3 linked regions of the Callithrix jacchus genome follow. The protein of the gene in region 3 interacts with the protein of the main gene of each other region in a biochemical or structural test. Links are inferred from orthologs where the notes say so. Each region holds a gene or a part of one and is shown on either strand. Other genes may lie near its edges. The genes, in order: DICER1, TNRC6A and AGO2.

Region 1 (3,650 bases), on a different chromosome or scaffold from region 3:
CAGAATGTACATTTATAATGCTTCCCTGAGATATTAGCAAATATTTCTGATCCATTTAAAAAAGACAAAATGACACTGGGCTTTCACTAAAGTTAAACCTGCCTTGGGACCAGGCAGTGTAGGCCACTTCTTGGGCACGCCTCATGAAGGTGTGGGAAGAGTAAATAACTGAAAGGCCCCGGCTCCTTCTCTTCACCTGAGTGACCACACAGCCCACAGTGGGGGCAGACAAGTTTAAGAGGCCTACCTGCAAACTGCAGTTCACTCAGTGTTCCCCAGAGAACACACAGCACACTGAGTCCCACACTCCTGGTCCCGATGTCCCTTTACACTGCTATGCAGTCAGAACTCTGAAACTACTGCGACTCCTACTCAGACTGCTTTTTTCAACATAGTTTTGAACAGCACTAACCTCAGAATCCATTCCTTGCATTTCATTCTTCTCAAGCTGAAACTGCACAAAGTCATCGATTACATGGAAGAGCTCAGGAGAGACAGCTTTGAAGTACTTGTGGTAGTCATACTTCACAGCCAGCGATGCAAAGATGGTGTTGTTGACCAGGGCAGACCGCAGGTCCGTCAGGACCCCCGGGGAGTGCTGCCTCGGGTCTTCATAAAGGTGCTTGGTTATGAGGTAGTCCAAAATCGCATCTCCCAGGAATTCTAAGCGCTGGTAACAATCTGAGAGGATCCAAAGTGGAACCATGAGCTCTTGCAGAAGCATTTATACACTATCCCCACATATGCAACTGATCCCCAAATCCCAAAAAGATTTGCATTTATATTTTCATACATATATTCTTCAATAAGGAAACTGACATATGATACTTACTAAAAAGCATCTGGAAACTAAAATTTAGTGGCAAATTAAACATGTTTCTTATATAAATTAGGGTCATAAAATCTTCAAGTGGTCAAAAAACTAATGATTGCTAAGAAGGAAAAAAGAAAATCTCACAGGTGCTATCATGATCACTGAATGCTTTTCTCTGGCACTGAGCTGTCTGGGTAGGTGCTGGGGCCTTCCTCTCAAGTCTCCCTCACACATCATCACTTCAGTGAAACCAGGGCCGCACACATCTCCCCATGTGGCTATGCTGTGCTGCCATCGCTAAAGTCTCGTTTACACTCTAGAATGGGTGTATACCATTTCTGGTATACCATTCCTGGGTAATTTTTGTTAAACAGGATGACAGGAAAAGAAGACCCTCTTCTTAACTTGAGCTATTATAGCAATTAATTTACCACAAACCAAGAGATTGAGAAAGAAGAGTTGTGAAAGTGAGCAAAGGCAGGTAAACTGCTTGTCAAAATGTGAAAATCATTAATGTTAAATCAACCCCTCTATTTTCTAGCTTCTCACAGTGATTAAAATAATCCATTCAGCTGAAGAAACTGAGGCAGGCACAGATGGTGACCTGTCCCAGAATAAGCAGAGTTAAGAGGCAGAGACTATGCTAGGCTAGAACCCAGGTCTCAGAACTTCCAACAGAGTGAAGTCAAAAGCCACGCATCATTTCTTCATAATGAAAATTAGGCTTCAGTTTCAACAGTCTTTCTAGTCCAGAGTCACATCGTTTTTCACTTTTCAGTTTATATATTTTGCTGATCACCTTAACCTACATTGTTTTTGTTATACAAACTACAAACTTTGTACTTCGCTTTGGTATTCTGAATTCAGGCACTTCTTCTTATATAGAAATCTGTAAACGTCAGCTGTGTTTCACAAGCTGAAGCTGATTTGGGTCTGAGGGGCTTGTTCTCCCTTCTAATCTAGTGGATTGAGAGCCTATTAAAGGAGAGGAAAATAAAGAGCACAATGAGAAGTAGATGACAGCAGAGTCTCAGCAAGGCCCATTCAACCTTCTTGTGAAATCATTGCTTTTAATCTTTTAATCTATCCATCTCTAGAAAGACCCCAAGGGAGGGGTCTTTTTGTCCAGGAAGAACAAAAAAAGGCTGTGGAAATACATCCAGAATATACAACTAAATCAAGAACCAAAAGCAGCACTGAATGGGCAAGAGAAAGGTATTTGGAGGATAAAATGAGGAAAAACACACCAAAATACTAAGGCTCAAATTTCTCTAATTAGGCAGCATTAAAATGACGTTGATCAGGGCATATAAGACAGCCATACACCCAACAACCCAAGTTATAAAGCAATACGTACTCCCCAAATAACAAGGAAAATAAAGAATTCTTTTCCTTTTGTTCCCCCCATCCCTTGAATATTAAGCACCAACACTGTACACGCATACATCACTTTTTACAAGGCCAACACAACGCAATAAACACAAAGTCTCATTTTCCCAGAAATGAAGTTTGGTCGTGGGCTCCTTACCAGTGATAGTATTGTAGTGATAGGAGGCATGTGTAAAAGCCTGGAGAAGGTAAGCCTTATTCTTGAATCTGTAGTTGATTTTCTTTTCAAAATTTTCAAACCCCGATATAAGGTAATTCAGTGTTTTATCTGCATCTGGATGATCAAACATACATCTTGGTGGAATCTTCAAACAGCCATATTCCAAGTCTTTCAATACAGAAGAGCGTGAACTGGCCACAGAAGCAGCAGCACAGCTCACTGAAAGGTTCTTTTGTTGGTGGTTGAAATTCTCCCGAGTAGGGCACAGGGCCTTTTCCCGATCAGTCCTTTTAATTACCGGGAGCACCTTCAGCCCCAAAGAACAGAGGAAAAGCTGAGCAGCCCTCTCCCCACAGCTGGTTAAATAGCAGCCCAGCAGGGCTTCCACACAGTCCGCTATGCTTTTGTCAGCAATACACTGCTCAGTGTGCAAGTCGTAAGAAATGGACTGCTTTCCCGTGTCAACACCACAGTTTTCTTCTGATGGATTCCAGAACCCCACCACAAAGTCATCTTCTTCAACAGCTTTGCTAGGATCCAGATAGCACATTGCATCCCAAGAGCTATAGTCAAAATCCTCAAAATCTGATGAAAATGGCATACTACCTAAGGAGGATTTTTTGGGCATTTTCCATTCATATGCAGAATCAGTGGTTGAAAAAGGAGAAAGAGAGATTTTCTTTACAAAAGCCCCTGACCCCATTAACATGTTATCTATAAATCTAATATGTTCCTGATCGTACTCCAGGAAATCATCTTCACAGTCAGCCTCCTCCTTCGGAGCCCTCCACATCAGGCTCTCCTCCTCATCCTCCTCCTCCTCGTAGTCCTCATCCAGTTTGCCATTCGCCAGCATGCAGTCTTTTGTCTGAAACAAGGGAGAATGGGGAAGGAGGGGAGACATAGCTGCTGTTTGTAAAAGGGTTTGAAACTCAATAAAAGCAGGGGTTATGGATAATTTCAAATGACAACCACAAATACTAAAAGGCAACTTTAAAATCATGGCCATTTGTTTTCAATTAACATAAAATAAGTTATTTAATCATATAAACAAAGTAAAACATGTTCTTTGAATGTTCACCTCCTAAGTTATAAAATGACCTTTATCCAGTATGAAGCTTTAAGAATTCTGAACATGGATATAAAGTTAAAATTAATGTCCACAATGCAAAATTTCAACTAAGAAGTCTAACTCCAGCAGGACACACAATGAAAGCACTCATAAACTGATCACAGATAGCTTCAATTTTGCTGACAAAGTTTGAAAATGTGGTAATTTGATTTTCA
Region 2 (3,650 bases), on a different chromosome or scaffold from region 3:
AAAATATTTGAGAGTTGCATAGGATTTAGGAATAAAGGTTTTGGATTTCTAATAATGGATTTTAAAATGATGATTAAGCTTTGAACTAATTTTAAATTTCCATTTCCAGAATTTCGTCCTGGTGAGCCATGGAAAGGTTATCCAAACATTGACCCTGAAACTGACCCTTACGTCACTCCTGGCAGTGTCATAAACAATCTTTCAATTAATACTGTGCGGGAAGTTGACCACCTCAGGGACAGGAACAGTGGTACGTAGGGGTGCAGATCAATTTCTGAGTGAGAATTAACAACACAGTTTAAAAATGGTTCATGTAGTACCAGCTATTCTGGGAGACTTGAGACAGGAGGATTGCTTGAGCCCAGGAGCTTGAGGTTAGCCTGGGCAACATGGTGTGGGACCCTGTCTCTTTTAAAAAAAAAAAGAAGAAGAAGAATGGCAAACAATTCCCTATTTTCCCATAGGTGGCTTTTTAATTTGGCTACTTTTTAAATGATGAAGATTTCATCATCCTTAGTATGGCAAACATGTTATGTTAATTTAATAAGTTAACATGAAGGACCAGCAAACCTTTGCTTGCCAGTAATTGTGTTAACTGAATGACAAAACAACAAATGAAGTTATATACTAACTTGATACTGAGTTACAAGATTATGATTATTTAAAAAACAAGGCCTTATACTTAACTATTGTATATATTTATATACTCTGAATATTGAAGCACTTTTGTCTGGAAGAGCAAATTAAACTGTCTCAGAGAGTAAGAATAAGACCAATCTAAGGATCCCTGCAGTCCAGATGTGCTTTTTAATTGGTTAACAAATAACATTATCCTATTACCTGCCACAGTTACTTTTCACCTCAGGGCATTTACATGTGTTTCATCCATGATTTTGTACCAGAGGACTGTTAATGAAATGAATTTTTTAGATATTAAAAAATACTTTCTTTTTAAAATACCATCTTTACTTTTATAAAGCAAATGTGAAGCAGCCACCATGTTGCTTTAGACATGTAATTTGCTAAGGTAACAAGTGTCTCTGCACCAGCAGAGGAGAGTCCTCAGCATTGTGAAGAGTGTATTCCACAGACAGCTCTGCCCACTTTGAGGGACACTAAGCCAAGCATAAATTCTCACAGCATGGGAGTTAATTGAAGAATCTGATGGCCTATAGAAAGGCTCTGAAAGTCAGGAGAGTTTGGATTTGATGTTAAATCAAATAGAGCATTGACGGCTTTGAGTGGAAGAATCTTTAAGATGGGGTAATCTGGCTGTGGTCAGCAGAGTGGTTTGGGTTGGTAGACCAGGCAGGGAACTGGTATAGTCATCCAGATGGTGGTCAGGTCTAGAGCTCAACTAGAGTAATACTGAAGGGGGTTTTTAAAATGGAAAGCAACACCAGGTTTGGGAGCCTGAATATAGCGAGTAATGGAGACGGCTGAAGGCTCAGCTCACTGGCAGTGCCTGTGACTAGGTGCCTTAGAGAGCAGGCTAGCCAGTAAGACGTCCCTGGATCCCAGGGGCAAGTTAGGAGCAGCAAGACTCAAACCTCCTTTTAGACCCAGTGCTGGGAAGCAGAGCCCAAGTGCTGTCTTGAGTGGCTGCACCTCATTGCTAGAATGCATCCTCAAAGCCAGTGAGAACAAAATCAGAGGGAAAATGCCTGTGCCGAGCCAAGGCAGAGACAGCTGGTGAGCTTGCTCAGCATGCTCTTTTGAAGGCAAGAAGGAAGATGTCTCAGGCATCACCTTGTTTCCTTTCTTGTGGCATACTGTTAGACCTCGATTTCTCTGGAAGCTTTTGCTTTTTCTTGCTCTGGTGTCTGATTGGACTCTTCCCTCACTCAGGGTCATCCTCATCCTTGAACACCACGCTGCCTTCAACTAGTGCCTGGTCATCCATTCGTGCCTCCAACTACAACGTTCCCCTCAGCAGTACAGCACAAAGCACTTCAGGTGGGCCTCGCCTTCACTCGGGAAGGGAGGGTCATAGCCAAGGCCGCAGCTGTTGTTTTAATGCCCTCTTCTTTTTGTCCATAGTCTTCTCAGGGAGTTAAAAGGTTCTGTCGGTGAGCCTGGGAAATTATTTTTTAACATCGTTTATTCCTTTTTAAACTTACTGCACCCAGCGGTCATCTACTAAAATCAGTTTTCACTGAACCACTCTCACTCATCTGAGAGCCACAGCAGCTCTGTAATTAAATGTAATTTAATCCAAACTAGTTTTCAGACTATCTTCAGTGAAGGACCTTAAAAAAAATTGCCAGTGCTTATAGACTGATACTTTTGTAAAATACGGTAAACATGAACTCCAAATTGCTAGGAAAATGATGGCATATTGAGCTACAGGAATGTCAGGTTGCTATCGGTCTACACATGTGCACTCTGAATTTCTGGACTCATCCTGTGGCAGATTAATATGAAACTGTGTTGTGACTGCAGCCACACCCTGAGTAGCACTGACCTAATGCACATGCACTTTGTAAGTTAAGTAAGAAAAGAGTTGGTGGTGATGAAAGATAGGAATTGTTCCCCGCCCTTGCTGTCCCCTCATGCTTTTAGCATGACAGTTGATGTAGTTTACTGTGTACCTGGTCCCTGCATACCCACTCGTGTCCCCATTGCTTCAAGGCCGTGTGCATCAGGAACAGGCCTGCTGTCTTTTTCTTTTCTCTCTTTCCTTTCTTTTTTTACTCTCTTTCCTTTTCCTTTCCTTTCCTTTCTTCCTCCATTTTACTTTCCTTTCTTTCTTTTGCCATGCAGGCTTAGTTTTGAATCCTAGCTCTACATTAGACCCATAGACAAATTACTTACCCACTCTGTCCTCAGTAGACTGTGTCGAGATCACAGACAGCACATGCCAGGTGCCCAGCAGCCAATGCATGGCGCAGAAAGGCAGGCACCCCGTGAAGATCTCCTGTGACAGCTCCTTCGTTGGGGCTCTTTTGCAGTTCTTTCTTCCCTGAGTAAACAACAAAGTTCTAAAATTAAATGGCCTGACTTTCTTGAGTGACTCAATTACGGTTATTAAGAAGTTCACAATTGCTATTTTAGAGCAAGTCAAATTGTTTTCCATTTCACTCAGAGTACAGTTTTGAACACTGGCCTAGGAATTTCATAGGTCTTAAAACTATTAATAATGGATGAATGGCTTGAGTGTTTTGAGGGAGGGAAGCAGTTTCTTTCCTTTGGGCTGATTTTCTTTTTTCTCAGTGTAGTTTGATTTGGGGGTTTTAGTAGAGTTTCTTTTGTTTGTTAGATTTGCTTTCTGTGGGAGAATGGACGTCGTTATTATTTAAATTTCCTCCTTTCTTAAACATTATTCCTCCCCTCTCCATTTTTTTCCCCCTTTGAGTAGCCAGAAATAGTGATTCCAAATTGACATGGTCTCCTGGTTCAGTTACAAACACCTCTCTGGCTCATGAGCTGTGGAAGGTCCCTTTGCCACCTAAAAACATCACTGCTCCGTCCCGCCCACCTCCGGGACTGACTGGTCAGAAGCCACCCTTGTCTACGTGGGATAATTCTCCCCTTCGTGTAGGTGGAGGATGGGGAAATTCTGACGCCAGATATACCCCAGGTAAGATGCAGTACATAAGGTGGTTTCCTGTGGTTTATTTGCAGAACGCTAACCAGTACTAACAGTCGAA
Region 3 (3,650 bases):
AAGAAGGAAAGATAGAGCTGTTGTTGTTGACATCCTGGTGACATTGTCCTGGGAGTCGCTGTTTCCCAGGCTGCCCAGTGAGCAGCTGACCAGTTGCTTCATGAAAGAGGCCAGGAATAGCTGGGGCGTGGGGGGAGCCATGGAGCTCTTTGATGTCAGGTTTACATCTGCCAAGGATTTTGAGGGTGCCAGTGTTTTTATTTTTAACCACCCAGCATTTGCTTGCAGCCAGGGCACCGTGGTGTGAGTGGCCTTCCTTTTTTTTGTTTTTCTTTTTTTTTTAATTGAGACAAGGGCTGGCTGTTTCCTAGCCTGGAGTACAGTGGTGTGATTTTGGCTCACTGCAGCCTCCGCCTCCTGTGTTCAAGTGATTCTCCCGGCTCAACCTCCCAAGTAGCTGGGATTACAGGCACATGCCACCATGTCTGGCTAATTTTTGTTTTATTAGAAGAGACGGGGTCTCAAATTCCTGGCCCCAGGTGATCTGCCTGCCTCAGCCTCTCAGAGTGCTGGGATTACAGGCATAAGCCATCACGCCTGGCCAGTGTGAGTGGCCTTTCTAGGTCCTTCCTTGTAGCTGGGCTCTTTCTCTCTTGCTCTGGGGCCCTGGATTAGGAGTTTAAATGGTTTTGTTTCATAAACTGCAGGGATGAGTTCGACTCACCCAGCTTCCCTTCCTGAGGGAGGAGGGGAAGCCTGGCCTGAGCGAGGTGGGCACGGCCGTGCTGGAGCCTGGACTCCAAGGAGCACAGGGTCCCTCTCGGGGCCAGTGACCCTCTTCTGTTGCTGACCTTGGACAGAGGGGGACACACAAAGCCCAGCACAGTTGCTGTGGTTGCACTGCCAGATGGGGGTGAGAGGGCTGGTGGCAGCTGCCATGCTCGCGGCCAGATGAGGAAGGGGCATCAGCAGAGCTGTGTGTGTGCCTCTTGTGTCCCTTAGCCGAGGTCAAGCGTGTGGGAGACACAGTACTGGGGATGGCCACACAGTGTGTGCAGATGAAGAATGTGCAGAGGACCACGCCACAGACCCTGTCCAACCTCTGTCTGAAGATCAACGTCAAGCTGGGAGGCGTGAACAACATCCTGCTGCCCCAGGGCAGGTGAGGCCCGGAGCCTTCCCGTCCACCTGCAGAGCAGGCACCGTGGGACTCCTGGCTGGGTGGGGTGCGGTGTGCAGCGGGGCAGGGTTCCTTCACCTGGGCTAGCGCTGTCCTGACCACAGCAGAGAAAAGATACCTGACATAGATCTGGCTGCTCACGCTCTGCTAGAGGCCAGGGGCATCTGCAGGAGCTTGAGCACTGTGGCTGGGTTTCCAGGCACAGAAATTCACCCCTCGAATGCCAGTGGGCAAGGCAGAGCAGGGCATGCCTCAAGGGACCAGGAGATGGGCTTCCCACTCCATAGTAGTAACTGCTGTGTGGACCAGGGACCCCCATGCTTCCCACACTAGGCTGGGCATGGATGCTGCAACCATGGATGGATGGATGCTGGGACTTTGGACTGAAAGCTCCTCATGGGACACACTGTTGTTGGCAGCTCCCAGGCCAGGGCAGGACGTGTGGCCACCTGCCTGCCTCAGAGGCTCAGGGCTGACGGTGTGGGGAGTGATGGAGCTGCACCCTCTTGGGCACCTCCTGACCCACTAAGCATCCAGTCCGGGGGGGGCCGGGGCTTGCTTCTTCCCCTCCTCTGAGGCCACCAACCTGTGATATAGGCGAGAAAGACGTCTCCATGATGACCAGCATCTTTACCAATCCTGGCAGTTGTCTTACCATTTGGATGACAACAATAGAGAATACGTAGAATCAGATAACATGCGCATTTGTGCAGAAGGGAACCATGGAGGCTGTGGGCAGCCCCTGTGGCGTGGACCTGCTGGAGCTCGCAGTCACAGTGGGGCTCATGTGAGAAAGGCATCCTAAGCCAGTCAGGGCGCTAAATCCGCTTCGCTCTCACCATCACAGAGTTAAGAATCCTAAATTGAACTGCCTTAAGGCAATGACCCTCTGTATTTGGCAAGTGGGCGGTAGTGAGCCCCTGCTGTGTGCACAGGCCTGTGCTGGGTCACAGTGTCCTCACACCGGAACCCCAGCGGGGCTCATTGCCAGAGTGTCCTACTCAGCAGGACTGATCGGGGTCAGGAATTTCCACCCCTAGCAAGTGGACACGCAGTGCCGATGCTGCTGCATGCGGGTCCAGGCTTTGAGGGCCACCGAGTTACACACTCCTGGAAACAGTCCGTTGAATTCATCAGGGAGCAGGGTGATACCGTGGGAAGAACCCCGATTCCAAGTCGGATGGCTGTGGGCGTGGGCACAGGCCCTGCGGTGAGACAGTTTCGTGGGAATGAGCGAAGACCAATCCGGAGCTGCCTGGGAACTGAAAGTGCTGCTCCTTAGTCCACAGGTTCTGTATTTATTGAGTGCCTGCTGTGTGCAGGGAGTCTGGGCCATAATTGGGCAGCACAGGGCCAGAAATCCTGGTGGAGGCACCCAGGTGAGATGATCATGAGCCTATCACACAGGCGGCAGGTGCACAGCAGAGCTGTGGGAGGGCCGTGAGGGCAAATGGGAGACAGGCCCGCCCATGTGCAGCCCGGGGGCCACTGGGGAACTAAGTCTCCCTCCAGTCCGCTGGGGCCATCCGGAGGCACCTGTCTAACAGTGTGGCCAGCTCTGGCTCCATGTAGCTGAGAGGGGCTGGTGGCCTGTCCAGGCCAGAGCAGGGGGACAGGGGAGGGAGCACCTGGACTCTGAGCTGTTTTGAAGAGAGAGCCCCAGGGCTTTCTGGCAGGTTGGATTGGGCTGTGCCTGAAGGAAAAATCTAGGCTCTTGGCCTGGACTGCAGGAGAGACTCCGTCGGCATTAGACAGAGCGGCTGTTGGGAGGGTGAGCACCAGACGTGGGTAAACTGGACCCCGAGGGCTCTGCGGAGCATCTGAGCGCAGATGATGAGTGGACATTGGGAACCAGGAGGCTGGCGTCAGGGGAGACAGGATCCAAGAATCCTCAAGCAGACAGGTGGTACTCCAAGCCCTGGGCCTTGGAGAAGGCTGGAGTTCAAGGCCTGGAGTGGGAGGAACCAGCAGCGGAGATGGGAGAGGCTGGGGTGGGGAGGCCAGGCGAAGGGCCCTAGGCACCAAAGGAAGTGTGTCCTGTGTCCAGCCAGACGCAGCGAGGCTGGAGGTATGGCCGTGGGTCTGTGTGATGCTGAGGTCACTGGTGACCTTGGGAAGAGGAGCCTTGTTGCCGTGGCCAAGGGCACGTCTGACTAGCAGGGGCCTGGGAGCCAGCGTGAGCAGTGATGAGTTTGGCTGACTCAGGGAGCTCTGCTGGAGAGTGTGGGCGGGTAGTGAGTCACAAGCACGTGGGGACATGGATGCCTGGAGAGGGCAGCAGAGGCGAGGGCTCCCGTGTGCCATTTCCAACAGGCAGGGCTGGCAGAGCGGCCACTTCTGATGCTTCCTGACGTTGCCTGCAGCTCCCAGGCAAGGTTGGGTGGGGTGCAAGGCAGTGCACTCTCAACCCGGCAGCAGTGCCCAGAGGGAGGGGCTGTCAGCCTTGGCCTTTCCCCAGAGAGCCCGAGGCCCATGTGCCTGTCCCTGCTTCCTCGCCAGTTGCCTCCCGAGGAAGCCTCCACTGGGATAC

What was found.
Region 1: the proteins of AGO2 (region 3) and DICER1 form a complex in vitro, tested with the Homo sapiens proteins (2 studies listed by BioGRID and IntAct). The link is inferred for Callithrix jacchus from reciprocal best matches to the Homo sapiens genes AGO2 and DICER1.
Region 2: the proteins of AGO2 (region 3) and TNRC6A form a complex in vitro, tested with the Homo sapiens proteins (2 studies listed by BioGRID). The link is inferred for Callithrix jacchus from reciprocal best matches to the Homo sapiens genes AGO2 and TNRC6A.

The regions. Positions count from the first base shown.
Region 1 is NC_133509.1:129,910,031-129,913,680, forward strand, and holds part of DICER1 (endoribonuclease Dicer), read right to left. Parts: intron 3,232-3,650; coding exon 2,343-3,231; intron 682-2,342; coding exon 413-681; intron 1-412. UniProt on the Homo sapiens protein: Double-stranded RNA (dsRNA) endoribonuclease playing a central role in short dsRNA-mediated post-transcriptional gene silencing.
Region 2 is NC_133513.1:25,409,112-25,412,761, forward strand, and holds part of TNRC6A (trinucleotide repeat-containing gene 6A protein), read left to right. Parts: intron 1-109; coding exon 110-250; intron 251-1,848; coding exon 1,849-1,956; intron 1,957-3,358; coding exon 3,359-3,580; intron 3,581-3,650.
Region 3 is NC_133517.1:56,993,448-56,997,097, forward strand, and holds part of AGO2 (protein argonaute-2), read left to right. Parts: intron 1-942; coding exon 943-1,102; intron 1,103-3,650.